Linked DNA regions of Mus musculus. The protein of the gene in region 2 interacts with the protein of the main gene of each other region in a pairwise test. Links are inferred from orthologs where the notes say so. Each region holds a gene or a part of one and is shown on either strand. Other genes may lie near its edges.

What was found.
Region 1: the proteins of Sh3gl1 (region 2) and Gpkow interact in binary tests that used the Homo sapiens proteins (3 or more experiments, as listed by UniProt). The two-hybrid records come from large-scale screens. The link is inferred for Mus musculus from reciprocal best matches to the Homo sapiens genes SH3GL1 and GPKOW.
Region 3: the proteins of Sh3gl1 (region 2) and Fam102a interact in binary tests that used the Homo sapiens proteins (3 or more experiments, as listed by UniProt). The two-hybrid records come from large-scale screens. The link is inferred for Mus musculus from reciprocal best matches to the Homo sapiens genes SH3GL1 and EEIG1.
Region 4: the proteins of Sh3gl1 (region 2) and Mal2 interact in binary tests that used the Homo sapiens proteins (3 or more experiments, as listed by UniProt). The two-hybrid records come from large-scale screens. The link is inferred for Mus musculus from reciprocal best matches to the Homo sapiens genes SH3GL1 and MAL2.
Region 5: the proteins of Sh3gl1 (region 2) and Sh2d4a interact in binary tests that used the Homo sapiens proteins (3 or more experiments, as listed by UniProt). The two-hybrid records come from large-scale screens. The link is inferred for Mus musculus from reciprocal best matches to the Homo sapiens genes SH3GL1 and SH2D4A.
Region 6: the proteins of Sh3gl1 (region 2) and Mta1 interact in binary tests that used the Homo sapiens proteins (3 or more experiments, as listed by UniProt). The two-hybrid records come from large-scale screens. The link is inferred for Mus musculus from reciprocal best matches to the Homo sapiens genes SH3GL1 and MTA1.
Region 7: the proteins of Sh3gl1 (region 2) and Dppa4 interact in binary tests that used the Homo sapiens proteins (3 or more experiments, as listed by UniProt). The link is inferred for Mus musculus from reciprocal best matches to the Homo sapiens genes SH3GL1 and DPPA4.

What each region holds. Positions count from the first base shown.
Region 1 is NC_000086.7:7,700,134-7,703,633, forward strand, and holds part of Gpkow (G-patch domain and KOW motifs-containing protein), read left to right. Parts: intron 1-1,929; coding exon 1,930-2,039; intron 2,040-3,236; coding exon 3,237-3,450; intron 3,451-3,500. UniProt on the Homo sapiens protein: RNA-binding protein involved in pre-mRNA splicing. As a component of the minor spliceosome, involved in the splicing of U12-type introns in pre-mRNAs.
Region 2 is NC_000083.6:56,033,838-56,037,965, reverse strand, and holds the start of Sh3gl1 (endophilin-A2), read left to right. Parts: upstream 1-1,328; 5' UTR 1,329-1,506; coding exon 1,507-1,551; intron 1,552-2,876; exon of another isoform or gene 2,877-3,098; intron 3,099-4,128. UniProt on the Homo sapiens protein: Implicated in endocytosis. May recruit other proteins to membranes with high curvature.
Region 3 is NC_000068.7:32,534,037-32,538,158, reverse strand, and holds the start of Fam102a (protein FAM102A), read right to left. Parts: upstream 2,801-4,122; 5' UTR 2,073-2,800; coding exon 1,927-2,072; intron 1-1,926. UniProt on the Homo sapiens protein: Key component of TNFSF11/RANKL- and TNF-induced osteoclastogenesis pathways, thereby mediates bone resorption in pathological bone loss conditions.
Region 4 is NC_000081.6:54,570,237-54,574,165, reverse strand, and holds the start of Mal2 (protein MAL2), read right to left. Parts: upstream 2,801-3,929; 5' UTR 2,658-2,800; coding exon 2,529-2,657; intron 1-2,528. UniProt on the Homo sapiens protein: Member of the machinery of polarized transport. Required for the indirect transcytotic route at the step of the egress of the transcytosing cargo from perinuclear endosomes in order for it to travel to the apical surface via a raft-dependent pathway.
Region 5 is NC_000074.6:68,275,270-68,279,327, reverse strand, and holds the start of Sh2d4a (SH2 domain-containing protein 4A), read right to left. Parts: upstream 2,801-4,058; 5' UTR 2,456-2,800; intron 2,443-2,455; exon of another isoform or gene 2,381-2,442; intron 1-2,380. UniProt on the Homo sapiens protein: Inhibits estrogen-induced cell proliferation by competing with PLCG for binding to ESR1, blocking the effect of estrogen on PLCG and repressing estrogen-induced proliferation. May play a role in T-cell development and function.
Region 6 is NC_000078.6:113,129,278-113,132,777, reverse strand, and holds part of Mta1 (metastasis-associated protein MTA1), read right to left. Parts: intron 2,659-3,500; coding exon 2,584-2,658; intron 2,245-2,583; coding exon 2,186-2,244; intron 1,894-2,185; coding exon 1,778-1,893; intron 1,463-1,777; coding exon 1,311-1,462; intron 1,206-1,310; coding exon 1,016-1,205; intron 891-1,015; coding exon 801-890; intron 1-800. UniProt on the Homo sapiens protein: Transcriptional coregulator which can act as both a transcriptional corepressor and coactivator. Acts as a component of the histone deacetylase NuRD complex which participates in the remodeling of chromatin.
Region 7 is NC_000082.6:48,282,575-48,286,534, forward strand, and holds the start of Dppa4 (developmental pluripotency-associated protein 4), read left to right. Parts: upstream 1-1,160; 5' UTR 1,161-1,243; coding exon 1,244-1,267; intron 1,268-3,960. UniProt on the Homo sapiens protein: May be involved in the maintenance of active epigenetic status of target genes. May inhibit differentiation of embryonic cells into a primitive ectoderm lineage.

The DNA.
Region 1 (3,500 bases), on a different chromosome or scaffold from region 2:
CAGTCTCATGTTGTCTAAGCTGGCCTTGAATTCACTCTGTTGATAAAAATGACCTTGAACTTCATGCTTACAACTATAATCAGGCTTTGGTCTGCCCTACTTTTTTGGAAACAGGGTCTTGCTGTATTCCTGACTGTTCTGAATGTCTATGTAGATTAGGCTGGCCTCAAACTCAGAGATCTGCCTGCCTCTGCCTCCCAAGTGCTGGAACTAAAGGTGTGCAAACTACGTCCCACTTTGCCTTCCTTAAGAAAACAAAACTTTTTTTTTCTTTTTACTTTTCATGCTTTGATTGGAATTCAGGACCTTCCCTGTGCTAAAATGCCTGTTATTGAGCTATACTTTTTTTTTTGGTTTTTCGAGACAGGGTTTCTCTGTATAGCCCTGGTTGTCCTGGAATGAGCTGTGCTTCTTGCCCATACTTCATTCTATCCTGTTCTGGCCTTGACCTCATCTCTCTAATTTCCCCATCTCCAAGCCTCCATACCATCTACATCTCAGATGACCACAATTCTAGCCATCCGTCCTCTCAGCTTAAAATCCTTGGAGCCAATCCTTGACTTCCCTTTTTATTTCATATTCTACACGTAGCCTATCAGCCCAACCTCATCATCTCCACTTCAGTAGATCCAGAAGCCAATAGCTTCTTAGTCATCCACATTACTAGCATCCTGGGCAGAGGCAGCATCTGGACTAAGTTTCTCATGGGTCTTTCTTGGGGCTCCCATGTGACTCTTGGTCCCATGACGTTTCCAGTTCTCCTCATTAATTCCTTACCATCTCTGCTTCCACCTTTCCTGTTGATTTCCATGGTTCTTAACCATACATACAAAGTCTAACCTTACTGCAGGCTCTTTTTTTTGCTTGTTTTGTATTTTGAGACAGGGCTTCACTGTGTAGCTCAGGCTGGCCTTGAGCTCACAGAGATAAGCTGCTCCCACCTCCCAAGTATGCCCTTTATTTTTACAACCGAGTCTGTTTGGAGCAGTCTTCTCACATCCTCATCTGTTCTGCTATCTTTTATCATTTATCTGATTAAATGTCAGGTCGTGGCTCCCATCTCCCTTTGAATTCCCTTAGCCAGGTATTTTTTGAGTTTGGGTTTGGTTTTGAGATTGGGGGTGGGGGGAGTCCCAGCATGTTGCCCAAGCTGGTTTCAAATTCTTGGGTTTAAGCTAGATTCCTCCCTTACCTCATACATAGCAGGGCCTACTGGACAGTGCCACTTTATTTTTAAATGTGTCACCACTTGATGTATCGTGTTTTCAGAACTCGATTTGTTGTATGTCTTGACAACTAGATCATAAGGCCCAACAGACTTTTTCCATTTTATTAGTTCCTTATCCTCAGCACCTAAATAAAAGGTCCTGTAAATCTTTTGAAAGCATGTGGATATTTGTTGAAGCTGGGTATGGTGGTCCATGTATTACATCCCAGCACTTAGGAGACAGGGGCAGGCTGATCTCTGAGTTTAAAGCCTGCCTGGTCTGGTCAACAGAGAGAGTTCCAGGACAGCCAGAGCTGCATAGTGAGAGCCTGTCTCAAGCAGACAGACTGGGAAGAAGGGGCAGTAGAGCAATAGCTCAGAGTTAAGAACACTTGCTCCATACCTCCAGTTCCAGGGCATCAAATGCTCACTTCTGACCTCCACTGAAACCAAGCACAACACACATCATGGGCATACATATATGTAAGCAAACCATTCAGACACATAGCATAAAATAATCCTAAAAAACGTTTTGTTGTTACTGAAAGACTCGGGGGTGGAGGAGCAGAGTGAGGAGTGATAAGAAATGAAAACTGTCCTTCAAGCTATCTGTTCAGGGGCCAGGGCTAGAGAAAGTCAGCCCGTGAGTGGCAGGCAGCAAGTGCATGGCAGAGGGCCCATCCCAAGCAAAACCTGACTCTCTTCTCCTGCCTGACCAATAGGTGCCGGAGGAAGCCGACTATGAGGCAGTCCCTGTGGAGGCCTATGGGCTGGCCATGTTGCGGGGCATGGGATGGAAACCTGGCAAGGGCATCGGCAATACCTTCAGTCAGTGAGTTTGGTGGGGGGAATGGGGGGGACAATGGGTATAAATAAGACCCCTGTAGTTACATTTAATCTAGAACTATCTAGGTGCTGAGGGAGGACATTATCACTAGTTACCCACTACTGTTTCAAACTGTGGTTTCCACAGCGTTGTTATTCCAAAAGAACACTAAGGTCCTCTTTGTGGATCAATTTCCTCATCTGAAAAATGCAGGCGGTACTAACTTCACAGGTTTGTTGCAAGAGTAGGATTTAGTCCCTAATAAACTAGCAGAAACTAAACATTTTTTTACATTTATTTATTTAGTATATGTAAATACACTGTAGCTGTCTTCAAACACCCTAGAAGAGGGCATCAGATCTCATTACAGATGGTTGGGAGCCACCATGTGGTTGCTGGGATTTGAACTCAGGACCTTTGGAAGAGCAGTCAGTGCTCTTACCCACTGAGCCATCTCTCCAGCCCCCAAACTAAGCATCTTTTCTCTTATTTTATAGACTTATAGTCCTTTTGTTGGGCTGGTGTGTAGCTTACCTACCATGTAAAAGGTCTTCCATCTGTAGAACTGAAAGCAAAATCCCTTTGCAGTTGTAAATCCCAAAGAATTTAAGTCATTTGGTAAGCCAGATATGACTGTGATTGATAGTGAACATTCTTTACTGTTCCCCTTGCTCTGTGTACATATTATGATTTCTTCTGTAAATATATTAGTTAGTATATTTGTTTATACAAACCTAACTTGGCACTTGTAGATAGGAGTAATAAGAGTATATGGGACAAGTTAATTTAGTTACACTACATGAAATTGCTATGGGGGCACTAAAAGTGAGGCTCAATGGTAGAATGGCTTATGCATTGAAGCCCTGGATTTGACCCCTAACACCACAAAAAAAGAAAAGTTGGCATTTTTATAACTCACAGAGTCCTTATATGGTATCAGAAAGGGTAATTAAATACAGATGTGAGCTGGTGAGATGGCTGGGCAGGTAAAGGCCCTTGTCTGTAATCCTGATGAACTCAGAACTCACGTGGCTGAAAGAGAACAGCCCCTCCCACCCCCAAGCAGTCGTCTGATTTTTACATGTGTGTTGTGGTGTACAAGCATACACAAGTAAATTAACAATTAAAACAAGGATTGCTGAGGTGGGTTGGATATTGGAAGGCTTGCCTTTTGTACTCCTACAAGCCTATTTTTCTCTGCAGGGTAGTGAAGCCCCGAGTCAACTCTATAAGGCCGAAGGGCTTAGGGCTAGGTGCCAACCGGATGGAGGCTCAGGACTTGGCCTCCGTAGGCTCTCACCACCCACCAAGACCAGATGGGGATCGAGAGAATGATAAGGAAGGCCAACCTCAAGGGCTGATGCATGGAAGAGCTGTGGTTGTCCTTTCTGGCCCCTACCGGGGCCTCTATGGCAAGGTAAGAAAACATATTCCTGAAGCCATGTCAGGTAGCTGGAGTGAGTAAGC
Region 2 (4,128 bases):
ATCTAAAAAAAAAAAAACAATGTTTAATTGGGACTGGCTTACAGGTTCAGAGATTCAGTTCATTATCATCCAGGCGGGAACATAGCAATATCCAGGCAGACATGGTGAAGGTGGAGCTGAGAGTTCTACATCTTCATCTGAGGGCTGCTAGCAGAATACTGGCTTCCAGGCAGCTAGGATGAGGGTCTTAAAGCTCACACCCACAGTGACACACCTACTCCAGCAGGGGCACAACTTCTAATAGTGCCACTCCCTGGTCTGAGCATATACAAGCCATCACAGATATCATTCAATTAGAGTCCTCTTTCTGTCTTAATGATGAGAGGAAGCTCACTGCAGGGCTAATGCGCAAAAAAGCAATGATGTCCTATAGCTGGTACATGACAGGAATGAACCAATGGAACTCGAAATAGGAGATAGCTACAGTCTGAGCGAACTATTTTGAAAATATGTTTCTAGTGGGGCTCATTGGTGCACACCTGTGATTTAGCACTTGGGACGTGGAGGAGCTTGGACAGGAGTTCAAGGTCATCCTTGGTTATACAGTAAGTTTGAGGCTTAGCCTGGGTTATGCAATATCTGCTCTGAAATAAAGTTATGAAGAAGGAAATAAAGGACTCTCTTTTCTAGTTGTATCCTCAGCGATTTATTAGAAGGGAGACACTGAAGGAAGGACCCCAGAGAGAAGGCTGGTGGCGTGTTAGCATTTGGGCCTCTGCCGGGATTAAAGGCGTACATGCATCACCACTGGCATACCTCATATTAATTTTTAAGTTATGGGTATATATGTGACCCGGTGTACTTGAGAGCAGTTGAAGGAGGCCAGGAAAGGGCTGTGACCCGGAGCTGGAGTTACAGACAGCTAGCTATGAGCAAGCAGCCTGATGTGGATGCGAGGAACTGAACTCCCGATGTCAGCCAGGGCAGCAAGCACTTTTACCTGGAGAACCAACCGTTCCTCTAGCCCCTAAGATATTCCATTTTACCTCGCTTTGTCTTTATTACACTCTCGCTGGCAAATTCCGCTCCGCTTTCTCCACGCACAAATAAAATATTAATTAATTAAAACTGACTTTTGGCTTTATATCTACTCCTGGACTCTAGAGGGAGCTGCATCATGCGTACACGCGCACGTACACAGATTTCTGGCCTCTCTAGGCGCCCCCTCATCTCGTTGGTGTGGGAGGGTTTCCGCCGTTCCTCCCCCGGCAATGCTCTTTCTGTCCTCCAGGGGGCGCGCACGCGCAGAGAGGCGGAGCGCGCGCAGATGCCGTTGTAGGGTGGGGTGAGGCGATATGGGGGCGTCACCGGAAGTGTGCGGTTGCCATGTAATATCCCGGCCGCGCGTGCGCGCTAGCCGGCCGAGGTGGCTTCGGGGCGGGGGCGCAGAGCTGGCAAGCTGATTTGGCGGTGGCGGCGCCGACCTGCGCGCGGAGGAAAGAAGTCGGTTCGGCGGCGCCGGCGGAAACCGGAGTTCGAGCGGGAGGCCTGACGGCGGCAGGCGGCATGTCGGTGGCGGGGCTGAAGAAGCAGTTCTACAAGGCGAGCCAGGTGAGGCGAGGCCAGGCGATCTGGTCTCGGGCCTGCCTTTGGGGACCGCAGACGAGCCGAGCTGGCTTCCCTTGGGCTAGCGGGGAAGGGGAGACCGGGTCCCCGTGCTTTGAAGAGGGACACCGGGTGTGCGCGTCTAGGCGGCTTTCAGAAAGCTCTGGAGGGCCGGCGAAAGGGCTTCATTGAGAGGGGCTTGCCGCCAGGCTTTACAACGTAAGTTCGATTCCTGGGATCGCAGCATGGAAGGCAAGCCCCCCCCCCCCCAAAGTCTCCAGGCTATGCTTCCGAGACTCTCACCACATAGCCTCAGGCCACAGAAAATGTTTGTCTAGGTTGATATCCAAAAAAACCAAGTCCACACAGGGCTTAAAAAATAATCAGTGTCCCATTCTTCTTTTCCCTCTCCGGTGTCTGTAAGACGGATTGAAAAAAAAAAAACCTAAAAAACCAAAAACAAACATTCTCGCTCACTGGGTGTTATACATCATTAATCCCTGCACACTTGAGGCAGTCAGGTAAGCAGATCTCTGAGTTTGAGGCCAGCCAGGGTTACGTAACATAAGGAGACCCTGTCTCAAAAATGAAAGAAAAATCTCTTGGTAGACACTGTGGCAAGTTGAAAAGAGACAGTGAAAAGTAATTTTCCAGGCTTCTGCAGTTTACAAAATGTGTCAGGTTTGTGTCCCTATTTCTAAAACATATGTATGCTTCTTTGAAAGATACGTTTTTGTTGGCTGTACCATACTATAGATTCCTATAGGTACTTGGTGGTTTGGGTTTAGTGTTTAATCGATCCGATCATGACTCTGAACTGAAATTCTCCTTTCTGGTTGTGTTGACATTCAGGAGTTCTGTAGGGTGGGCATCCTGGCCTCCGTTGTATAAACATTGAGAACCCTACCCCAGGCAGGCAGGCGCTCCTTTCAGACATCCTATAGTGTAATGTCCCTCTGGAACTTTTGGGGGGTTTTTTGAGGCCAAGTTTTGCTCGTAGTCCAGGCTGGCCCAGAATTTTCCATCTTCCTGCCTCTCAGGCGCTGGGATGACAGGATACCTTTGTGTGTTGAAGGTTTTATATTTGCCTTGAACTCCTGGGCTCAAGTGAGCCTGTTCCCTCAGCTCTGTCAGGTTTCTGCTTGAGAAAACCCTTGTTGTCTCATCTCTGTCTCAGTCAGGCCAGAGTGGCCTCATAGTCATTATCCTCCCGCCTCTGCCTCCCGGTGCTGAGTTACAGATGTTTGTCACCAAACCTCAGTGGCCAGAAGTTCGTGACTGAGTTTTCTCCTGTCTGTTTTGAGTTTCTTTTCTTCTGCCTTTTCCTCCAGGTTGCTAGATCGATTGTGCTCGCGAGTGCGCTCTCTCTTTCTCTCTCGTTTGATGGATGTTTGCTGGGGTTGGAGCCCAGGACCTCAACCACACTGGCAACAGCTCTACCCTGAGCCATGACCTCAGCTTGACATGCATTTTACATGGGACACTGCTGGAAAGCCTGGCAGGCCTGTAACCCCAGGCCCTCTGGCCGCTGAGGCAGGAGGATCAAAAGCCAAGTGAGTTCCAAGTGAAGCCTGTGGAGCCAGCTTGGCTGCTATGTCTGATACCCTAGAGGTCACCAGGGTTGATGCTAGTGTGGCTGGAGGAGGCTGTCTTCTGCCTGTGCATCCAATCCAGTGCTTGTCTCACTCAGCTCAGAGGCCAGACCCCACCAGTGTTGGAGCAGCTGGCTCCCCTTCTCGAACTCCTGAATAGCTTTCGGAATGCAGAGGATAGGATAGGACCCGGGCTCTGGGCTTCAAAGTAAGAACTTTCATATCTCAAAATGACAACAGATCTGGGTGTGTAGCTAGTTGGTAGAGTACTTGCCTACCACACAGGAAGCCCTGGTTTTGTTACAAGTTGAGGGCCAGCCTGGTATACAGTGTTAGTTCCAAGGGTATGTAGTGAAACCCCATTCAAACAAGTAGTTCAGAGCCTGCAACCCATAGTCATGCAAGCCCTGGATCTTTGCAGGGAGGTCTGTGAACACGTAGTTTGTTGCCCGGTTTCTGTTCCAAGAAGCCCCAGATGTGCTAATCCTGTGGCTGTGCAGTACAGCCCGAGAATCCTGGGTGTGGAGCTGGCTCGAGTAGATTCCACAGAGAGATGAGCAACAGTGTAAGGAATTGCTTGGGCCATGCCTGTGAGAAAGGTTCTCCCCACAGTCTGGAGAGGCCCAGCCAGAGGGAGCAGCCAGCTGGTGCTGTCACCCAAGGGCTGAAAAGAAGGAAGGGCCTAGCAGTTGCCTAAGGATAAAGACATCTGAGCTCTATCTGTGGACCTCATAGGGAGGCTAGCAATGGAGTTGATGTGGTAGGACCTATGCAGTAGGCAAGAGACCTCCAGTGCCTGAACTCCTTAGGCTGTGATGCCAGCCTGGGTTCTGTGGCTGTCCTTCTGTTTGAATGCCTGTGGCCCCACATCCCTCAGATGGAGTTCCCGGAGGTCCCTCCCCTGCTGATTCCCAGCAGGTCCTGTCAGGGACTCATAGGCAGCCACTAGACTCTTTCCCACTTGGAGGGCCACCCATCCCACCTGCCTACA
Region 3 (4,122 bases), on a different chromosome or scaffold from region 2:
CTCTTGCCAGGCGGAAGAAGGGAAAACAGAGGTGAAATCCAGAGCATGTGTGCTAAGTAAGTCCTGGAACTTTCCAGACTTTCCAGGATGTGGGGACATGTTGAGGCAGGAGAAAAGCTGACAGGTAGGGTCACAGTGGCTGGCTAAGGGTCTAAGTAGACATGTGAAACTTTAGCCTGGGCTTGGTACAAATTCCTTGGTACTGTGCTCAATCCCAGATCACTTAAGGACCTCTGCTGATTAAGGGGTGTCCCCCCCATCCTGTAGCCTGGGGTTGGGGAAGGCTGGGGCCGGGACCCCTTACAATACAGTAATCTTAACTACTGTAGCCACTCCCCTGGTCATGCATGGTACACTCTCCATTCCCCTCACAACTGAAAGGTGAACATTACTTCCCCATTTTACAGTAAGAGGAAACTGAGGGTCAGAGGCACAGTGTAACAGCTAAAGTCACTCTCTCTGAGCCTCTGTTTTCACCTCTGTAAGAATGATTCCCCCTCCTCTACTCCTGCTCCGTGGGTGGTGTTGAGAGGTGCTAGTGAGACCGTGAGCAGAGCACCAGTAATTGCCAGCACGTGAGATCAGGGAGACTGGGTATTTCTCAGTGGCTGACCCCAGGTCCAATCACTGAGCACAACCCTCTGACACTGCGCCATGGCCGGACCAGCCGGTCGTTAGGAAGGGTAACTGCAGGGATTACAGACTTCACAGGCAGAGGATTGCAGCCACCCCCACCACAAAGGGCAGCCCTTGTCCAAATTCCTCAGATAAGCGGCCCTGAGCAGAACAGGAGGCCCAGTGCACAGAACAGGCACCTCTATCCACAGATTCCAAAATCTGAATCAGACCACATAGCTTCTCTCCTTCCAACAGAATTCACCCAACAGGTCTTCCAACTGGCCAAATCTGGTTGACAAATGCCTCCGGCAAAGTCTCTGGCAACCAATTTACTTCCTCTTTCTGGGGCTCATTATCCCAATCCGTCTAACACACCTCTGAGCGCTCTGAATAGTGGGGCAGGTCCAGCTAACTAGGCCCACAAGACCTAAGAAGCAAGGGACAGGCTAGGAGGGGGAAGCATCTCGGGAGCTGGGCCAGGGGCCTATCTACTGCAACTTCCCTTTACAAAGCTGATGGAGAAACCTGTATTAGGTCCAGTGTGCCGAAGAGGGAACAGGAACCCAGAAAGAGCCTGAACTTGACTTCCTTTCCCCATTAGCTGGACTCTACGGACCTCTGCAGGCAGGTCAGGACTGTGTGACCGCCATGAGCTCAACCTGCAAAAGGTGGACTGGGACCTCATTCAGCAATAAACTGGGAAGCTGGACCTACTAGGACGATGACGGACACAAAATCAAACCCGATGGCTTTTTTCACAGGGGAAGGCAGTCTCCTGGCAAGGACATTTGCATTGCAAAGCAGTCCAGCTTTAGCCAGTGGAGGGCAGTCACTCAAGAGGGGGCTGGGCAACCCAAAATCCAGCCACCTCCCGCAATCAAATCCAGGGAGTGCCTGGAACTGGGCTTTCCCAGCCAAGGGGAGAGAGCCAGAGAGCCCTGGCTGGCCCAATCTCTCAATCGTATGACAGCCACAGGAGCCAGCTTGGTGGCAAGGTGGCCTGAGACACCCTTACTTAATCCCTTAAAGTGAAAATCTCAGTCAGCTCTCTCCATACAAATCTGTAAAACGGGTGACTTGAAGAGTGCACGCAGGGCCCTAAAAGGTTTCTGGCTGGTCACCTGCAGACAAATGCCAGGCGCTCTGCCAGCTCACTCAGACCTAAGTCCTGCTTAGAGCAAATCTTTCCCCAGGCGGGCCCCTTGCCCATCCGTCCCTAGCTGAGTCTTCCACATTTGCCAAGTGGCTAGATCTCACTCATCAGCACTCCCCACCCTCCCCTGCAAACGCGAAAACCTCAATGCCTACCTGGACGACAAGCTGACAAAATCCCCGCCATCCAGCAGCCGGACCTTGCAAAAGAGGACCCCGTTCACGAAGGGGACCGCAGTCAGCTCCTCCAAGGTGAAAGTGGTTTGAAATTTAAATTTCTTCTTCTTCATCAAAAAAGCCATGAGCAAGTTCCCTGAGTCTGAAGCCCGCAGGGCCAAAAAGAAAAAGAAAAGAAAAAAGAAAAAAAGAAGGGGATACTAGAAAACCCCAGGATTCCTTTCCCGACACCACACCCCCCTCCTCAAAAACACCAGAGCTGGATCCAGTCCAGATGGCGGCGGAGGCTGCGGGCAGGAGAGGATCTGAGTTCGGAGCCCCAGGTCCAGTGAGCCGGCTGCTCTCACCCTCGGGGAACCCGGGCTCCACTGACATGTAAACAGCGAGGTGCGGCCCCGGCAGCGGGGGCTGGCGTGGAGGGCGGCTCGCAAGCGAGCAGCAGCATCCCGATCCGCGGGGCCCGGCGGACCGGTGAGACTGACGGAGACGGCCGGGCGAACCGCTGGAGACCCGGGCGGCGGCCCCGCCTCCGCCCCGCTGGCTGCCGTGGGAGGTGCCCAGGCGACGCACACGCCTCCGCACCTGGCGCACCGCGGCCTGCGCAGGTGAGGCCCCGGGAAGCGGAAGCCACCTCGGCGACCGACCCGGCTCTGCAGGGACCGCTTCGGGAGGCTCTGCCGGGCCGGGAACGTGTGCCGGTCCGCCTCCCGCTCAGTCCTGGGACCTACGCCGCTCCTGCCCTGCCCGAGTCTCAGGCGCCTTCCGACCCGGCCGGATGGCTTCTGCCTCGGTTAGCACCGCTGGAGCACAGCGGCGCCGTCGCCCGCACCTCCGGACGCAGCCGGCTGAGCCCGACGCAGCTCGGCGCTGCTCGGAGAATGCCGAAGCCCCGGCGCGACCGCCCGCGGAGCCGCGGCCGAGAGCAGCAGGGGCGGGGCGCGCGAGGCTCACAGCCAACCTGCGATTGGACAGGCCGACTGTACGAACACGAATTTCTATTGGCTGGCGGTGGCGTGGGGCGGGGCTCGCGGAGGCAGGGCCAGTTGAGGGCGCTCGGATTGGAGCGCTCGCGGGGCTGGACCCGCCTCCTTGAGAAGCGCGGTGGGGGGGGGTGCGGAGAGGCGGTGGGAGGTCGCGGGGTGTGGGGGCCGGCACTGGAAAGAACGGGAGGAGAGCGCGAGCCCAAGAAAAGGAGAAACAATGACTAGGGGAAACAATCTGGAAACTAGGGCTAGAACGGCCTGCCCGGATCCCGCCAAGACCTGAGCTCAGTGAGCAATGAAGCAGGCTGAGGAGGTAGCACCCCTGTTCTCAGGAAAACAATCGCAGAGGTGTCTCAAGACCTATGCAGGTCTTGCTCGCCTCTAAAAATGACAAGCATCTGTCCTGGCTTTGCCGCTCTTGAAGATCCATTGGAGCCCGGCAACCTTGTGACTCGGCCTGCCTGGTTCCAGGCTGTTATCTAAGGCTTTTGTTTAAAGTTTCCCGATAGTTATGGCAAAGGACACCTTGGGGACCTCGTACTCTCCAAACTATCGGCATTTTATGATTCTTTTTATCCAGGCCGCCAGTGTTTAGGAACTCTGTCCTGAGTCAGGCAGGCACCCAGTGGAAAGACTGGATCTGAGAGTCTGCTGAAGAACTCAAGTAGGGAGGTCAGAGGAGGCGTGTGCTTTCGGATTGGAACGGAAGTTCAAAGGATTCTGACACAAAGCCGGCCAAGCATCGGGGTACAGGCAGTGGCAGTCACTAGAGGCCTGCTGGCCCGGCAGCATGGTACTCAAAAAGTTTGTGGAGTATCCCTGGATGAATTCTAATTTGAGAGAACAGCAGATCAGGCTAGAATCTGGCCCAGTCTTGTAGACCAGAGCAAAGAAGGAGGCATCTCCTGGTTTTTTGAGCTAGATAGTGACTTGATTGTTCTGGCATCAGATAACTTGGAGGAAAGAAAATGGGGAAATGGGTGAGTGAAAGGCCGTTTTTGATCCGGGCAGGAGATAAGTTAAGGTCTGCTGGACTTCCCTGTGGAAAATTAAAGAGAGTTGGGCTGATTGGCATTTGAGATGTAAATTCTCTGCCGGACATCATGTTTGATACCATGCATGATATCATGTTTGGACATGTGCATGAAGACTTCCTGAGCTTACATTTCAGAAGCATGGGTGGCAATCTCTG
Region 4 (3,929 bases), on a different chromosome or scaffold from region 2:
AAGTAAAAGTAGAGAATCCACTCCTGAAGTTGTCCTCTTACTTCCATAAAGTATTATGGAAGTGATCATGCCCCCCCTTGCTTCAATAAGCAAAATATGAAAAAGAAACAGTGGGCAGTCTCTGAGGAATGACACCCAAAGTTGTCCTTTGGCCTCCATATGCACTTGCACACGCAAGCATGAGCCCACACACATGCACCCACATCAACTGAACATGCATGTGTGCGTATGTGCATGCACACACACACACACACACACACACACACACACACACACGGTGCAAATTCAAAGAGACACTTCTATCTTTATAAGCGTCTGAGCACATGTCAGGGTTAGGTAAGTTTCCAGAGGAGCAGAAGTTTAAGAAAGCAGGAAGCAAGCTACGTTTTTGGAAATGTGTGAGATACTTCCTCACATTTCCAGGATCTAATCATCCTATCTGTTCTAACAAACATACATATTCACATTTGTGAGGAAATTCTCTTTTCTACACAGCCTGGTTCAAAGACTCTATCAGTGGGTTGCAGCTATACTATGTATTAGAATCCCCAGGGACCTTTAAAAAAAATTAGCTGACTCTGGGTGCTCCCCTAGAGACTCTCATTTAATTAGGCTGGGCTGGCATCAGGACTTGTAAGAGCTGCCAAGTTATTAAGTACAGCAAGAATTGAGAACTAACTACTATGGTAGATAGGAAAAGGAGATATGAAGTTGGGAGGGGCTCAATAAGTCACCTCTTTGCTTTGTTAACCTTTAGTACTAGTGTCCCATGAAGTGTGGCACATCCACAGGTGGATCCTGAGTATCACTTGATTTAGTAAGACTTCCGTGCACCACACACACACACACACACACACACACACACACACACATACATACATACATACATATGAAAGACTTCTGTGTGTATGTTTTACCTATATATTTGAATAACTATGAGGAACCAACCTATCAAATTGGAGATTAACTGTACATTACTCCTGAGGATTGAGCCTAACTTCTACCAAAGTTTAAGCTGTGCCTCTATGTCTCCAGATCCTCTGTAAATTTCAGGATAAGTAGGACGTAACTAAAGCCGTGGGAAGAACTCGTGAAAGAGGAAGCAAGCACGTGGAACTTGAGGAACACGGCAGGAAAGGAGCCCAGAATCTGGGAACTCTTTCTCTGCAACGCTTCCTGTTTTAAAAGCTGTGTCCCCTCCACAGTCAGGAGTCTGGTCCAACGCCATCTCCTCCCTGTTCCTCTCACATGGATGCCTGCCACCCACCTTAGTCATTCCTACGATGCTGAATTGGGCTCAAATCCGAACCCATGCCAGGGTCTTCTAGTGTCACACTCACTATCTGATCTCAGGTGCCACTGCCTGTGACTCATTCACTTGGGTCTCTTCTTTCAGATTCAAATCTGAGCTAAACCCAAGGTGGCTTGGCTACCTAAGCATAATGGGGCAGAAAACCAATGCCCACAAGGTTTTCAGCTCAGCAGCACAAAAGGGAACCCCGAGTGACCTAGATCCAGGTTATGCAAACTCGCAGGAGTGGATGAGGGTTGACATGAAAACCCTAAACAGAGCAAACAGAACCAGCCGACAGGAATGACACCGCTTTGCTGACATGTCTTTCTATTTGACATTCTCCCAGCATGACGCAACCCCAGTTGCCCAATTTCTATTTGCACATTTCCCCCTTGTCCACAAGGAGCTTCAAAAACTCCCAACTCCACAGCATTCCTTTCGCTAAGTTCAAGTGTCTAGTTCAACAAGGTGGCAGGGCAGGCTTGTGGCATCAACTTGACTTTGGGCGGAGCAAAGTGTTCTGAGGTGGTTTGGAATTCTCAGGTAAACTTAGAAAAGGACAGGAGGTGCAAAGGCAAGAGCTGAGGCTGACTGCCCCACTTCCACTTTGCCCCTCCATTTTCACACCCACTTGATTACACACTGCCTGCTGCACCTACAACCTCACCTTTCTCCCTGCCCTGTTCTTTCTCAATCCAAAGGGCACTGGCTATGGCAAGGGTGAGTCTGGTGAAAACCATACCCAGGCTTCAGCCTCCTCTTCCTTTCCCTGGCGCCTCCCGTCCAGGCTTTCCACATCCTAACAGCTTCCTGGCCACCCAGTCATCAGTTCACCTTTGCACCACCCAACAAAATGGCAGGTTGGCAACGGGAAAGGCCGAGAACGCTGGTTCCTCCTCTAGTCAAACGCAGCTCCTATCCAAAGCCCAGAGTCCCCGAGATCCAACAGGAGAGGGCTCCTGCCCAAGTCCCTAATCATGGGCCCCTAGCCTGATCGGTCTCTAGGGCACATTTCCATTCCAGGCCGGCGAGCAGGTGTCCGCGTAACAGGTGCCAGGCAAGAGGCCCGGGTCCTAAGTGGAGAGGACCCCGAGACTGACTCCAGTAAAAGGCCACTTCTAGAGGATGAAGGCTGAGGGAGGGGTATTCAGAGGGACCAACCCCGGGCTGGGGGCAAGGATGCTGCCTGTCCATGCTCCCGGGACTCGATCTTCACCTAAGCTGCCCCACTTACAATCTCCAGACAGACGAAAGCTCCGGAGTACGTCCTTAGGATGTCGGGGCCAGCGGGCAGGGTGACCCGGGGCGCCGGGAAGGACACGGCAGGGTTCGGGGGCGGCGGGACTGCTCCGCCGGCCGACATGCTGCCGCTGCTACGTCTCCGCGCACCGCCACCGCCGCCACCGCCTCCCGCGTCCCGCCGCCGCCTCCCGGGCTTGGCCGCCGCCGCCGCCGCCGCCGCCGATCCGATCCGTGGGGTTCAGGCGTGCTGCTCGCGGAAAGGGTGTGGCCACGGGCCCTCTGCCGACAGAGGCCCGCCCCGTCACGTGGGCACAGGTGAGCGCGCCTCCGCCCTAGCGACAGTCAGGGTCACCAGCACAGGTGTGGTGCGCCCCAGCCTCAGCGCCAGCTCTGCAGCCCTCCTGGATCTTCAGATCACTTGCTGCTCCTGCACTAACTGTCTGCTGGTTCCCACCTGCCCATCCCACTCAAGTCTCCCCGCTGGTCCTCACCCACTTTCCCCAGTTGGGTAGGAAGACAGAGGCTGTGACTCAGAAGGAAAACACCAAGTTGCCAGGCACACCTGGAAAATGGGATGCCTGTTTTAAAGGCGATTCTAGGGGGATTTTCAGGGTCATGTAGCACATTGGAGTCGTTGGCAGTGGGACCCTGGAGGAAGGCCTTGAGTCATTTCTGTTCTGGTCTCAGAAATCCGTACGAGGATGTCCACCAATGATGGGCAGAAGAGTTAGGTGTACAGGAAGCGATGTAGCTTATAGGATGGTAGCTATTTTTTCCAGTTTTGACGTCAATAATCATACACAAAATGTTAGCTTCATTACGTTTCCACACAGACACTTTTTATTCCATTTTCAGAAAGGTATTCTTTGCTACTGCTTTTAAAGACTTAACAATTATTAAAACAGAACAGGACACTACTACATATGAATCCCAAGCCCCAGTTTCCCCCCCTTGCATTCCCATTTTATTGGTTTTGCTGTCAATGTTCTGAAAGTGGAATGAACAAAGGGACATTTCTCAGAGATCATCTAAAGATAAGTTCCACAGATCAGCACATATGTAGACCACGTTGGTAAAACCTGACCCAGGCATGGGGATACACGCCCGGAATCATAGTACTTCACAGAGTGTGGATTGCCCTGAGTTTGAAGTCAGCATAGACTGCAAAGCTGGTAATAGAATAGCTTGGGATACCTAGAAAGAACCTGTCAAGCAACAAGAACAGCAATCAAGTATGTGGATATGTAAATGTGTGTCTACTATACACATATGCATGCGTGCACACATGTACACGGACACACAAACCTATTCGAGTATCGGACATTCTACAAATTGAGTCTTGTTCTGATCTATTAAGTTTAGCTCTTGAACTGTGAGTTGTTCCCTGCATGGG
Region 5 (4,058 bases), on a different chromosome or scaffold from region 2:
AAGAAAACTGCACAAGTGGAGATACCCCAGCAGTGCAGAAGCCCTACCCTTATCAAGTACAGATAAGCTTAGAGAAGACACAGAAGAAAATACCCCATCCAGAAAGGAGACAAGGTTGACACCCACATTGGTCCAGTAGGGAGTTTGTCTTCCATTTATTCTCCACTTGCCAGGTGCTTTGTCTCCTTAATAGTCCCTTTCCTAGTACCTCAGTAAAGAGGTGTGCAAGCTCTTTTCTTTCCTTTGGCTTTGCTTTGGGTAGCTTGTGTAACATGGGCTTCAAGCATCAATGTTATCTGGAATGTTTTATTTTATGGTCTGGTGATTAAAGCCTGGCCCTTGCACATGCTAGGCAAATTCACTGTTATTGAGCTATACCTCCAGTCCCCCTTTTACTCTATATTTTGAGATGGAGTCTCAATTGTCCAGGCTAGTTTTTAACACATCCTAGCCTAAGCAGGCTTTCAGCTTTCCATACTGACTGCCCTTTTTCTCTCACAAAATTGTTATTATAGACCCTGACCACCAGGGACAGTTTAATTACACTTGAAGAAACTACAGTGGCTCCTGGTGGCCTCAGAGAATACAAAAGAAACCCAATTAACAAGTGATGGCTTTTGACTATGGGCACCAAATTGGACTGCTGATTCCCTCTGAGTATAGCAGCAATTGGCTTACAGGATACTTCAAAGGACACCAGCCTAGATTCCCAGCTCTGCCTCCAGTGAGCTGTGACTTTGGGAGGTCACCTCAAGTCTTTGGACCATATTTCCTAATCCATAAAATTAATCTGGGGATCTTTGTAGCTCTTGGATACTGAGATAAAATCTACGTTGAAGTTCCTGAGACAAGTACAGGAAATAAAAAGGAGGAAGTGAATCCGCCTGGGTTTTTCCTTCTTTCACTCTACAGGACAATCACTGCTAACGTTGATCTGCACGGTGATGGTTTTGTCTCATACTGAGTGTAATCACTCGAGGTTCAACACAAAGTGCAGCTCAACTAACTTGTTTTTCTTCTCCTGTGGCATTTTTTTTTTTGAAAAAGACAAATAACAAGCAACAAGTCCATACCTGTTGCTCACTCTAAAAATTTGAAAGAGTACAAAATTCAGTTAGGTTCCCAGGATACCTGTAGATCTGGTCTGACTTTCACACTTTCCATTTTTCTACATAATTGTGTTTTTAATTAGTATAGAGCCTAATACAGCTATCTTCATAGAATTATCGTGGTATGTATAGTACATATATCCCTAAAGTTAAGAATTTAGATTAAGTTCTATCTATTCTTTAAACAGCTAGCTCTGTGGACAGGCTTCGGATTGTTCGATTTTTTTTTTCTCATTAATTTACTTGATGATTTTGAAAATAAAATAAATTGCAAGTGGTGAGAGCAGCTGGAAGTTCTGTAAATGCTCTCGAGATTGAAGTATTTCACAGATATAACTAGACAAGTCCATTTGTGCCCAATCTTCACCTAAGTATTTCTTCCACTTATTTATTAAATTAAAAATTATAAATACATTGTTTCGTTCCACAAACAAGAGAAGCTTGTCAGGGAACTGAGCAAGATGTAGCTGGTTATCCCTGCTTCTCTAGGGCCATAGTGAAGAGAAACACTATTGAGAAAATCTGCAAACAGTGAGTGACTCCACCTAGGGCCCATGAACCCCCCAGGGCAGGAGTGGCTGCGGATGGTTTACTTTTGTTGAGGAAAGTTCTTGCTAGGCTGATTTTAGATTGAGCCTTGACCCAGAACCATAGGGAGGGGACGAGCCCGCTGCTCTCTGTACCACGTGAGGGCGCCCGCGGGAGGGTGTCCCCGCGCGGGGAGCTCTCTAATAGAGTTCTGCGTGGGCTGAAACAGGTTTCAGGACTCTGTCTGGAAGGTCACCTCCGGGCCAGGAGAGACCACATGGCACTGCCCAGTGATTGGACCTCCGCTGATTTGTGGGTACTGTTGCAGGCACCCAGCACCTGCTTCGTGGCCCCGACCCTCGCAGGTTGCTTCCGCAGCTGCACCTGCCCCGGCCAGTGTAAGCACTCACCACGCGTGCATGCACACCGCCCGGGCACCATGACTTCCCTGAAAGACTCCAAGTTGCCTCCGATTCTCCTCCCACTGGAGACTCTTAGTATAATGATCACAAGCCCTCTATTCTTAGGGCCGCCACTCGCCCGGCCCCGGCTGCCGATACTGGACACCCTACACGAGACATCGGACACCCACAGCTGTGGCGGTCGGTTCCTCTGGGCACCCGAGCTCGCCCTGCGCGCGGTGGAGGAGGGACCAGAGGGACAGGTGAACAGCCTGACCGCGGGAACCAGGGTCTCCTCCTGTCCCTGTCCTCTGTGCTTTACCCTTCGCTCTAGAGACTCACCTGCTGGTTCCCACTCCTCGCTCACCCTTCTGCCTGGCTCCATGCTCCAGCGTTTTACCCGACCCGGTCACCTACCTGCTCAGTACCCGGAGCAAGGTGACCCAAGCACCTGCCACCTCCAGATTGCCTACAGCAACTGTCCGGGAAGAGAAGGGAGGACAAGCAGAGACCCAGCCTCCCAGAGACCCAGCCGCGCGGGCTGTCTGGACAAACACTCGGGACCAGAAGGACACTCAGCGTCCAGATCGCAGCCCTGGCCCGCCCCGCCGCGCCCACATGCTGGGGTGACTGACTGGGCGCTCCCTCAAGGCCCCACCCGGGTGCTGGAGGCGCTCCAGGGCCAGTAGGCAAGCTTGGCTGCCTTGGTCCAGTGACAGCAAGGCCACTAGTCCTTGGTTAATCTAGAGCGCTGTCTACAGTCTGGGGTAGTTTGCCTTACCACCTCAGTGGGGGTCTGTGGGACTTATTAATTACAATAGTCCGGCCCCTTCCACATTTGACTTGTAGGTGGAGCCTGCGGAGGCAGGCAAGGCCCATTTGGGAACCTGGGTCCTGCAGGCCAAGTTGGCTGTAGTTCTGCCCCTGCATTCTACAGCTTACTTTTTCCTTCTCTTTTGTTGACATTAAGTAAATTATCAAACTCTGAAGCATTTGTGACTCCAGGTGTGGCTTTACCGAGCATGATCAAGGAAGAGAAAGACTGGAATGCTGCAGGCTGAAGGCACTAGGGACAGGGGCAGCCAGGGAGAGAAACATGAAAGGGGGAAAAAGGTGGAAGTCCCCTGTGACTAACAGATCAGGGCCCGGATGGCACAGAGCACCAATGAAGCCTAAGCATACGTGGGAGGGAGGAAAGCTGAGCCGAGTGGAAAGGTGGACCAGCCTTTTCCACGGGTGAGGAACGTTAGGGATGTGGGGAGAAAACAGGGCTGAGAGGTGCGGAGGGATGACACAGGACCTCAGACTGTGGAGGTTAGAGAGAAGTCTTATAAACAAGAAACACGGTGTGACTTTATACACCCTGTCCAATCGATTTAGGAGCCTGGCATGCTGGACCCAAACATTGTTTATCTTAGGCTTTCACAACCGCAGAAAACCCTTGAGTTGGAAAACCTTACAGCCAGGAGTTACACCCTACACTCTCAGGAAACACGACTCAGCCATTTGGGAATTGTGCTTGAGATCCACTCAGGCAAGGACTCCCGGCCCGAAGCTTACTCTCCACTGTACTGAACTGGGTGGCCAGATGAGGTGCCTTAGAATGCTCTGTCCTCCTCTGCCTACTGGTGGTATCTGCTCAGCACGTGTCCTCACACTCTCTGGAAACTAAGGAGCTGTACAAGCTGGCTATCAGCCAGCTCAGGGGCCCATGGGACACTGATGCTATCACTAGGTACCCTCCTCCAGACTCATTCTGTCTCCAAGTCCTGACAAGCCTTTCTTGATGACAGCTCTCCCCCTTACATTTAGCCTTACAGTTTGCCATTCACGATATCAGCAGTGCCTGGCTGATTCAATTCTTGTGAGGCTCAAGTGAGATAATGCATGCAAAGTGCTCAGAGCATGGCTGGCCCTAATATGTTTGGATACTTACTGCATGCCAGAGACTATTGAATAGATAGAGGCTCTTGCACAAAGTGTTCAGAACCATTTCTGGCACGCAATATTCAAATGCATT
Region 6 (3,500 bases), on a different chromosome or scaffold from region 2:
GCAGGCCCTGGCACTGACCACACCCTCCTGGGTGAGGCTAGTCCTGGGGCCTAGGACCCAGGGAGCAAAGCCAGGCACTTGTGTCTGCAATGAACACACTTAGCTTATGGTTCTGGAATGTCCTTTCTAGAAGGACTGTTCACTCCATGCTGGCAGACTGACTCAAGTCCACTCAAACCCTACAAACAAGTGACCCCAAGTGTCTGCCACAGCCTCCTATGATGTGTCACTCCTAAATGGCCAGGGGCACTGCCGAGAAGTCAACAGTCCACAAACAAACACAAGCAAGGAGCTATCCCTGCAAGGCTGCCAGCCAGACCAGCACCTTGACAACAGGGGCTCCCAGAAAGCCTCCAATGCTGCCTTATGTTAGGGAGAGACCCCCTTGCAGCAGCAGGTGTCCACTGAGCCCGGGCTCTGTTGGTAGGGTTCTGCCTGGTATAAACCCGAGTCAGAAGTCAGTGGTGGTGCACGCCTTTAATCCCAGCGCTTTGGAGGAAGAGGCAGGAGGATCTCGGGTTTGAGGCCAGCCTGGTCTACATAGTTCCAGGATAGCCAGGGCTAGGTACAAAGAAAGACCCTGTCTCAAACAGAAACTTTTAGTCAGGACACAGAGTATGGCAGGAAGGTTAAAGCCAGAGGCTCTGGGACCCAGGACCTGGAGGACAGGACGAGCACAGCTCTCTGTGGGTGCTCCTGAGCCGGGCACGCCCGCCTAGTGTAAGCCGGGTGACCACTCAGTGACCCTAGATGGGGTGCGAGGAGCAAAGCCAGAAACCTAAGTCAGCCGTTGAGCTTACCAAGATACCGGAGCACGGCCTCCAGGGGCTTCCGTACTACCTGCTTCAGCACCAGTGGGCTCTGGGAGGCTTCGGGCAGCCGTGCTGTGCCTGTACAAGGACAGGACAAGGTACGGTGAAGAACCATGTTCCCCAAGAACCTGTACCCCAACCTGGACACTCTGCCTGAGTGTGGCTCCTGCTAGGCCCAAGAAAGAGAACAGGGGAAGACTCACATTCAGCCTTGATTGCTGCGCTGTTGATGGGCATGTAGGGGTGGCGGGCAGCATGCCATGGGCGTAGGATCTCACGGCACAAGCGCCGGGCAATGCGTGTCAACTTGGTAGTATGCAGGTAGAAGGCCTGCCTTGTCTTCATGGCAAACTTGGGGCTCCCACTGCTCCGAGCTGGGATGCCATGGGGACTCTGTGGAATGGGGCACGGTGCCCCAATATAGCACTGTGACTGGAAGCCAAGGACCCGAGGCTGACATGCAGCAGGTGGCAGATCAGTATGGTGTGTCCCACTTACCATGTTATTGCGGTTTGGTCCCGGCCTCTCTCCATCTAACCGGGTTGGCATTTTCAAGCCACCATATTTCTTCCAATATGTCCAACAAGATGCGCAGAGGCGACACTGCATGTTAGGGGGACCCCAAGAATACCACTGGTAAGACTGTGTGGCTACGGACAACAAAGTTGGAAATAGACGGATTCTTAAGCAGGACCAACGGTGCAGAGAGCATCCCACAGTGTCCCCACCGCCACCACAGCCACCCCAACTCCTGGCTCAGGACCAAAGGAGGCCAACCTCATACTCCTGAGGAACTCTTCCAAACTACCCCATCCCACCCCCCGCCGCCACCACCACCACCACTGCAGCCCCACTATGGTGAGTCATTCCAGGTTTGGGCGCAGGAGCCTTCAGGGGCCACACAGTAGCATCCATTCCCGTGGCCCCTGCTGCCCAGGGTGGGTGCCAGCCGGGACAGCACTTACTGTAACAGCTCTCGCAGGCCCGACCGGCCCCGGGGCTCTGGCCTGGTGTCCCTGTGCCATTCACTACAGTGGCCTTGACACTGCTGGCGCTGATCTGGTTTGGGTTGGGCTTGTTACTGATGGAGGAGAGGGATCAGTCACAGGTGCCCTGGGGTGTCTGGATCCCCACAGACATCCCTGTTCCTCTGTCCACTGTGTTTCAGCTGCCATAGCCCAAAATGCTTAGCACTAAACCCAGATTAACTCCTGAGCCAAAAAAGCTTAAATCCTGATCCCTCCTCCCCAGTGGAGCAAGCTCATGAGAAGGGTGGCAGAGGTTCTTCAGCTCAACTCTGGAGGCTGCCAAACCTGGAGTCCTACACCCACCGCCCACCCTGACCCGCCCCAGGAACATGAAATAGGACTTACTAGTTGGGAATATAAACCTGCTTTAACTTGCTCTCAGCTTCAGCTGCTTTCAAGCGTTTCTTTAAACAAAACAGAGGGTGAGGGAGGTCACCAGGCTGGCCAGGGAAGCTGGGAGGCCACAGGGAGGGGTCACCATTTGTTTCTCCATCACTGGCATCCTTAGGGAAAACTTGCATGGCCCTCCCTGGCCAACCTAGGCCCAGGAAGTGGGGGTACCAGGCTGGCTAAGGGTGAGGAATGTCCCTTCCTCCCAGTCTGTGAGTCCTCTAGTGACCCCAGCTCCTTCCTCTTTGCTCTAGGGCTTAAGGGGAGGCCGCTGGGAAAGTATGAACAAATGTAATGTGGCTATGTGGGGATTGGAGAGGACGGATAGCGTGGTGCGAGAGTGGATGGTCTACCTGCTGGACGTATCTGTCGGTGGTCTTCCACATGTAGTAATACTCAATGATGCTGGTGAGCGACTTCCATGGGAGCTGCGGGGACAAGGCAACACGATGGGTGGCAGAACAGGGCTGCTGCCCACACAGGCGAAGGAGAAGAGTGGCAGAGGCAGTGCTGGGTATCACATCAGGTCTCCCACTAACGGCACCCCGCCCCCAGTGTTCATTAAACACAGCAAGACCATAGCAGGTATCTGGTTGACCTTGCTCTTCCCTGAAAATCCAAGCTAAAACAATTACCATTATGCCTGGAAGGAGATGACCATAACTTGGTTCTGTTCTTACCAAGAATCAGAGATGTATGGACAAGATCGGCTCAAGTCCCTCAACCAGGACTTCTCAGCTTCCAGAACCAGAGAGGGGTGAATTTGTTGGAATCACCCATTCTCAGGGGCTTGAATGAGAGGCCTCCCCACGGCCCACATTCTTAACTCCTTGGCTGGAACGCCAAACCTCCCGCTTCTCTGGGTTACTGAGCTCCAGGGCGACTTTTCCATGTTCTTTGTCCTTCCCGTTATGTGTTTCTTTCCAGTGTCAAGCACCTAAGGTTTCTCTCTTTCAGCACACAGCTACAAGCCCCTAACCCTGTGCCTCCTTCCAGTGCTCCCTGGGCCACCAGCTACATCACTCAAGTTTCGTCTTCTCCCCTGAGTTACTGTTTGGTCGGTCTGTTGGCAGTGGCAGGGATCAGAACCAGGGTGTCCTACATACAAGGGATGCGTTCTCCCACTGAGCTACACACCAAGGCTGGCAACTTCAGTCTTTAAAGGCTGTGTGCTGGTTAAATGTCACCTGCAAACATTGTCTCTTTAGATCTTTGAGCTTTATCTACGAACAATTTCCTGTGAGCAGACTCATGAAGTGTTGAGTGGCAT
Region 7 (3,960 bases), on a different chromosome or scaffold from region 2:
ACCACATGGTGGCTCACAACCATCCATAACGAGATCTGACTCCCCCTTCTGGAGTGTCTGAAGACAGCTACAATGTACTTCCATATAATAAATAAATAAATCTTTAAAAAAAAAAAAAAAAACAGTTGGCAGATAGAAAGTTACAGTTTTGAACCAGGCTCGGTGGCCTGAATTCCAGCCCTGGGGAAGCTAGAAGATCAGAAATTCAAGCCCTGGCCAGGTGTGGTGGGGTACACCTTGAATCCTAGCAGTCAGGAGGATGAGACAGGAAGACCTCAGTATGCTGCAGGTCCGTGGAGACTTCAAAAAAGGAGGGTTGGATGGGGAAGAATTAAAAGAGTTGTAATTTTATGGGCTGGGATTGTAGCTCAGTGGTAGATTGATTGGTGCACAGAAACAAAGCCCAGGGTGAGCCCTGAAACCACCAAAACAATGCAACCCCCACCCCCTGCCATCTCATGGAAAAGGATTTCTGGAGCAACTGGGTTGTTTTCATTCCTGTTCAGGATGCTAATTCCATTAGATAAATTTGCAGTCTTTTCAGAATTCTCTAGGAACTTCACTTTCCCTTAGCAATATTTAGGTTCTTTCTTTCTTTCTTTCTTTCTTTCTTTCTTTCTTTCTTTCTTTCTTTCTTTCTTTCTTTCTTTCTTTCTTTCTTTCTTCCTTCCTTCCTTCCTTCCTTCCTTCCCTTTTTTTTTTTTTTTTCTTTTTTCTAAGATAGAGTCTCACTATGTAGACTAGGCTGACCAGGAGCTCAGAGAGATCCACCTGCCTCTGCATCTCTAATGCTGGGATTAAAGGTGTGTGCTGCCACGCCCAGCAATAATTACAGTTTTAAATATCCCAGATCTACAGTTGCCAGGAGCAGGGGGTAGCAGCTCACACCTCTAAATCGCAGTATTCCGGAGGTTGAGACAGTACAATATACAAAGCGCATTTCTGGCCAGGCAAAGAAATGATAAACTCTGCCTCAAAAACAAAACAAAACAAAACAAACAAAAAAAAATTCGAGGAAACAAGCCTAATAATTAAACCACACAAAAGGGGATTTTATTAAAATCAGCCACAAAAGGAGATTTTAGCATCACAATTTTGTTGAGGGTGGGACCAGAAGGGGAGGGGAACGGAAGAGGGCCTCAAGACAACAGGAAGTAGGAGGAGATTTTGAAAAGCCGGCTGAGGTCAGAGGTCTTTTGGAAGCTGGGAGAACTTTCTTTCGGAGGATTCATCTATTCTCAAGATGGAGACTGCTGGAGACAAGAAGGTGAGAACTGTTTTTACAATTTGGCTTTCCAAATGAGGGCCCCTCATTTTTGAGTATAGCCAGCCATTGTTTGGAGAAGAGAAGAATGAGCGTTACAATTTGTTACAACCTTAATTGTTTTTTTAAAAAAAATTATTATTTAAAGGCAGGTGTGTGGCTTGGCGGGCCCGCTCGAAGTGGCCTTGCGCGAGACCCTGGGGCCCGGGTGTAGATGTGTTAGGAGAGGAGGGTGTGTTTTGGAAGGAATGCTTTGTTAGGAAGGAATTTAGAATCCCGTAGCTGGTCCCGGGATAAAACAGGGTATAAACTGAGGCTTTGGGTAGCCTCGGAAGGAGTCCCCAGTTAACCTGAGAGGACCCGAGGGCTTAACCCAAAAGTGCCTGCTACAGGGCTTCCAGGCCCCTTAATTTATCCATAGGCCCTCAGAATCTATGAATTTTGACATGGCAGACCTGCTGGTTCCTAACTGTAGTAGCCAGGATAGGATGCTGAGCACTTTCCTGGACTCCTCCCCAAGAAACCGCCAGCCATTTTCATCTTTCTTTATTGTAAGAATTTTGTTAAGTCCTAAAGTGAATCCTTTATAAAGAGGTTGTGCAAAAGTAAATCTTAGTCCTTGGGAAGCCGGTCCCTATTGTGATGGGAGAGAACTGAGGTGTCAAGTAACAGGAAATGCTAAATTGTCACTTCCACAATTGCGGGGGTGGAGGAGGGGGGGGGTGGAAAAGACCTAGGTTTTGGAGCTAAGTGACCTGGTGGTTTTACTTATTTATTTAGTGAGTTATTGTTTTGTTTCTCTGTAGTCCTGGGTACCCGGGACTCGCTCTGTAAACCAGGTTGGTTTGCCTCCCGGGTGCCACCCTCTCTTTTCTTTCTGAAACAAGGTTTCTCTGTAGCCCTGGCTGTCCTGTAACTCACTCTTGTAGACCAGGCTAGCCAGGAACTGAAGAGATTCGCCTTCCTCTGCCTCCCGAGTGCTGGGATAAAGGCATGTGCCATGACCACCTGGCTTTAATAAGCTTTTAACTTTTGGCCCTCCATGTTGAAAATACAGTAGTGGTTCTGAAGTTATATAAAGATTAAATGAGGCAAGGAGTGTGTTTAGTCGTGTATATGCTGGAAGAGGCTTAATATTTGTTAGGTTTTTTTTTTTTTTTTTTGGTGTGTGTGTGTGTGTGTGTTTCTTTCTGTGCTTAGGGATTTTTTTGTTGTCGTTGTTGTTGTTCCCTTAATTAAACTGAATATTTATTATCCATCCTCAGCAATAAAAGGGAGAGGGACCCCATTCTTATGGAGTTTAAAATCAGATGGAATTAATTGACACATGGAAATGAGGTAACATGTGGTAGATTTTTGAGATTCCAGCAAAATAACCCTTGAATTGAGACTCGGAGGACAGTGAGGTGTAAGAACTGAAGGAGGAGTGGGTGGGTCCTAACACATCACCAGGCTGTTTTAACAATTGGAAACTGTCCCTAGGCCATGTCTGAGAGGCTCTGAAGGGAAATCAAGCCACGGAAGTGACAGTGCCTTTGGTACATCACTCTGGCTACAAATTTCTTTGGGTGAGCCTAGAACCAAGGACTAGGGGAAACAGTTTTTGGGTGTGAGACTACAGAGTAAGGTTTTCTTTGTCCAAGAGTGGACCACTATCCGGTTGCTTTCATTATCTTCTGTTGCTCTGTTCATACCTATTTCATCCTTTAGTTTTATCCTGTAGCCTAAGCTTGGGTAGAGGAGGCACCAAGGATGTGACAGATCCGTCACATCCTTGGTGCCTCCTCTGCATTCACTGCACAGGTGCTAATACAGCTTCAGTTTGGATTTCTTCCTTCCTTAAGACAGTCCCATAGGGGGCGGGCCTGTGGACCAAATCCCAGCACTTACCCTGAGGCAGGCGGGCCTCTGAGTTCAAGGCCAGCCTGGTCTACAAATCTAATTCCAGGACTGCCAGGGAAGCTACTTAGAGAAAAACCCTAGCTCTAAAAAACAAAGACGAAGATAGTCTTACAAGTCTGGGCTGGCCTGGCCTTGGTCCTAGCCTAGGGTTACAGTTGTATGTCACCAAGCCTGTTTCTTTTTCTATTCTTTTTTTTTTTAAGATTTTTTTTTCATTTACATTTCAAATGCTACCCCAAAAGTCCCCTATACCCTGCCCCCACCCTGCTCCCCACTTCCTGGCCCTGGCAATCCCCTGAACTGGGGCATATGATCTTCGCAAGACCAAGGGCCTCTCCTCCCAATGATGGCTGACTAGGCCATCCTCTGCTACATATGCAGCTAGAGACACGAGCTCGGGTACTGGCTAGTTCATATTGTTGTTCCTCCTATAGGGTTGCAGTTCCCTTTAGCTCCTTGGGTACTTTCTCTAGCTCCTTCATTAGGGGCCCTGTGTTCCATCCAATAAATGATTATGAACATCCACTTCTGTATTTGCCAGACACTGGCATAGCCTCACAAAAGACAGATATATCAGGGTCCTGTCAGCAAAATCTTTCTGACATATGCAATAGTGTCTGAGTTTGGTGGTTGTATATAGGATGGATCCCCAGGTGGGGCAGTCTCTGGATGGTCCTTCCTTTGGTCTCAGCTCCAAACTTTGTAACTTCTTCCATGGGTATTTTGTTCCCCATTCTAAGGAGCGAAGCATCCACACTTTGGTCTTCATTCTTCTTGAGTTTCATGTGTTTTGC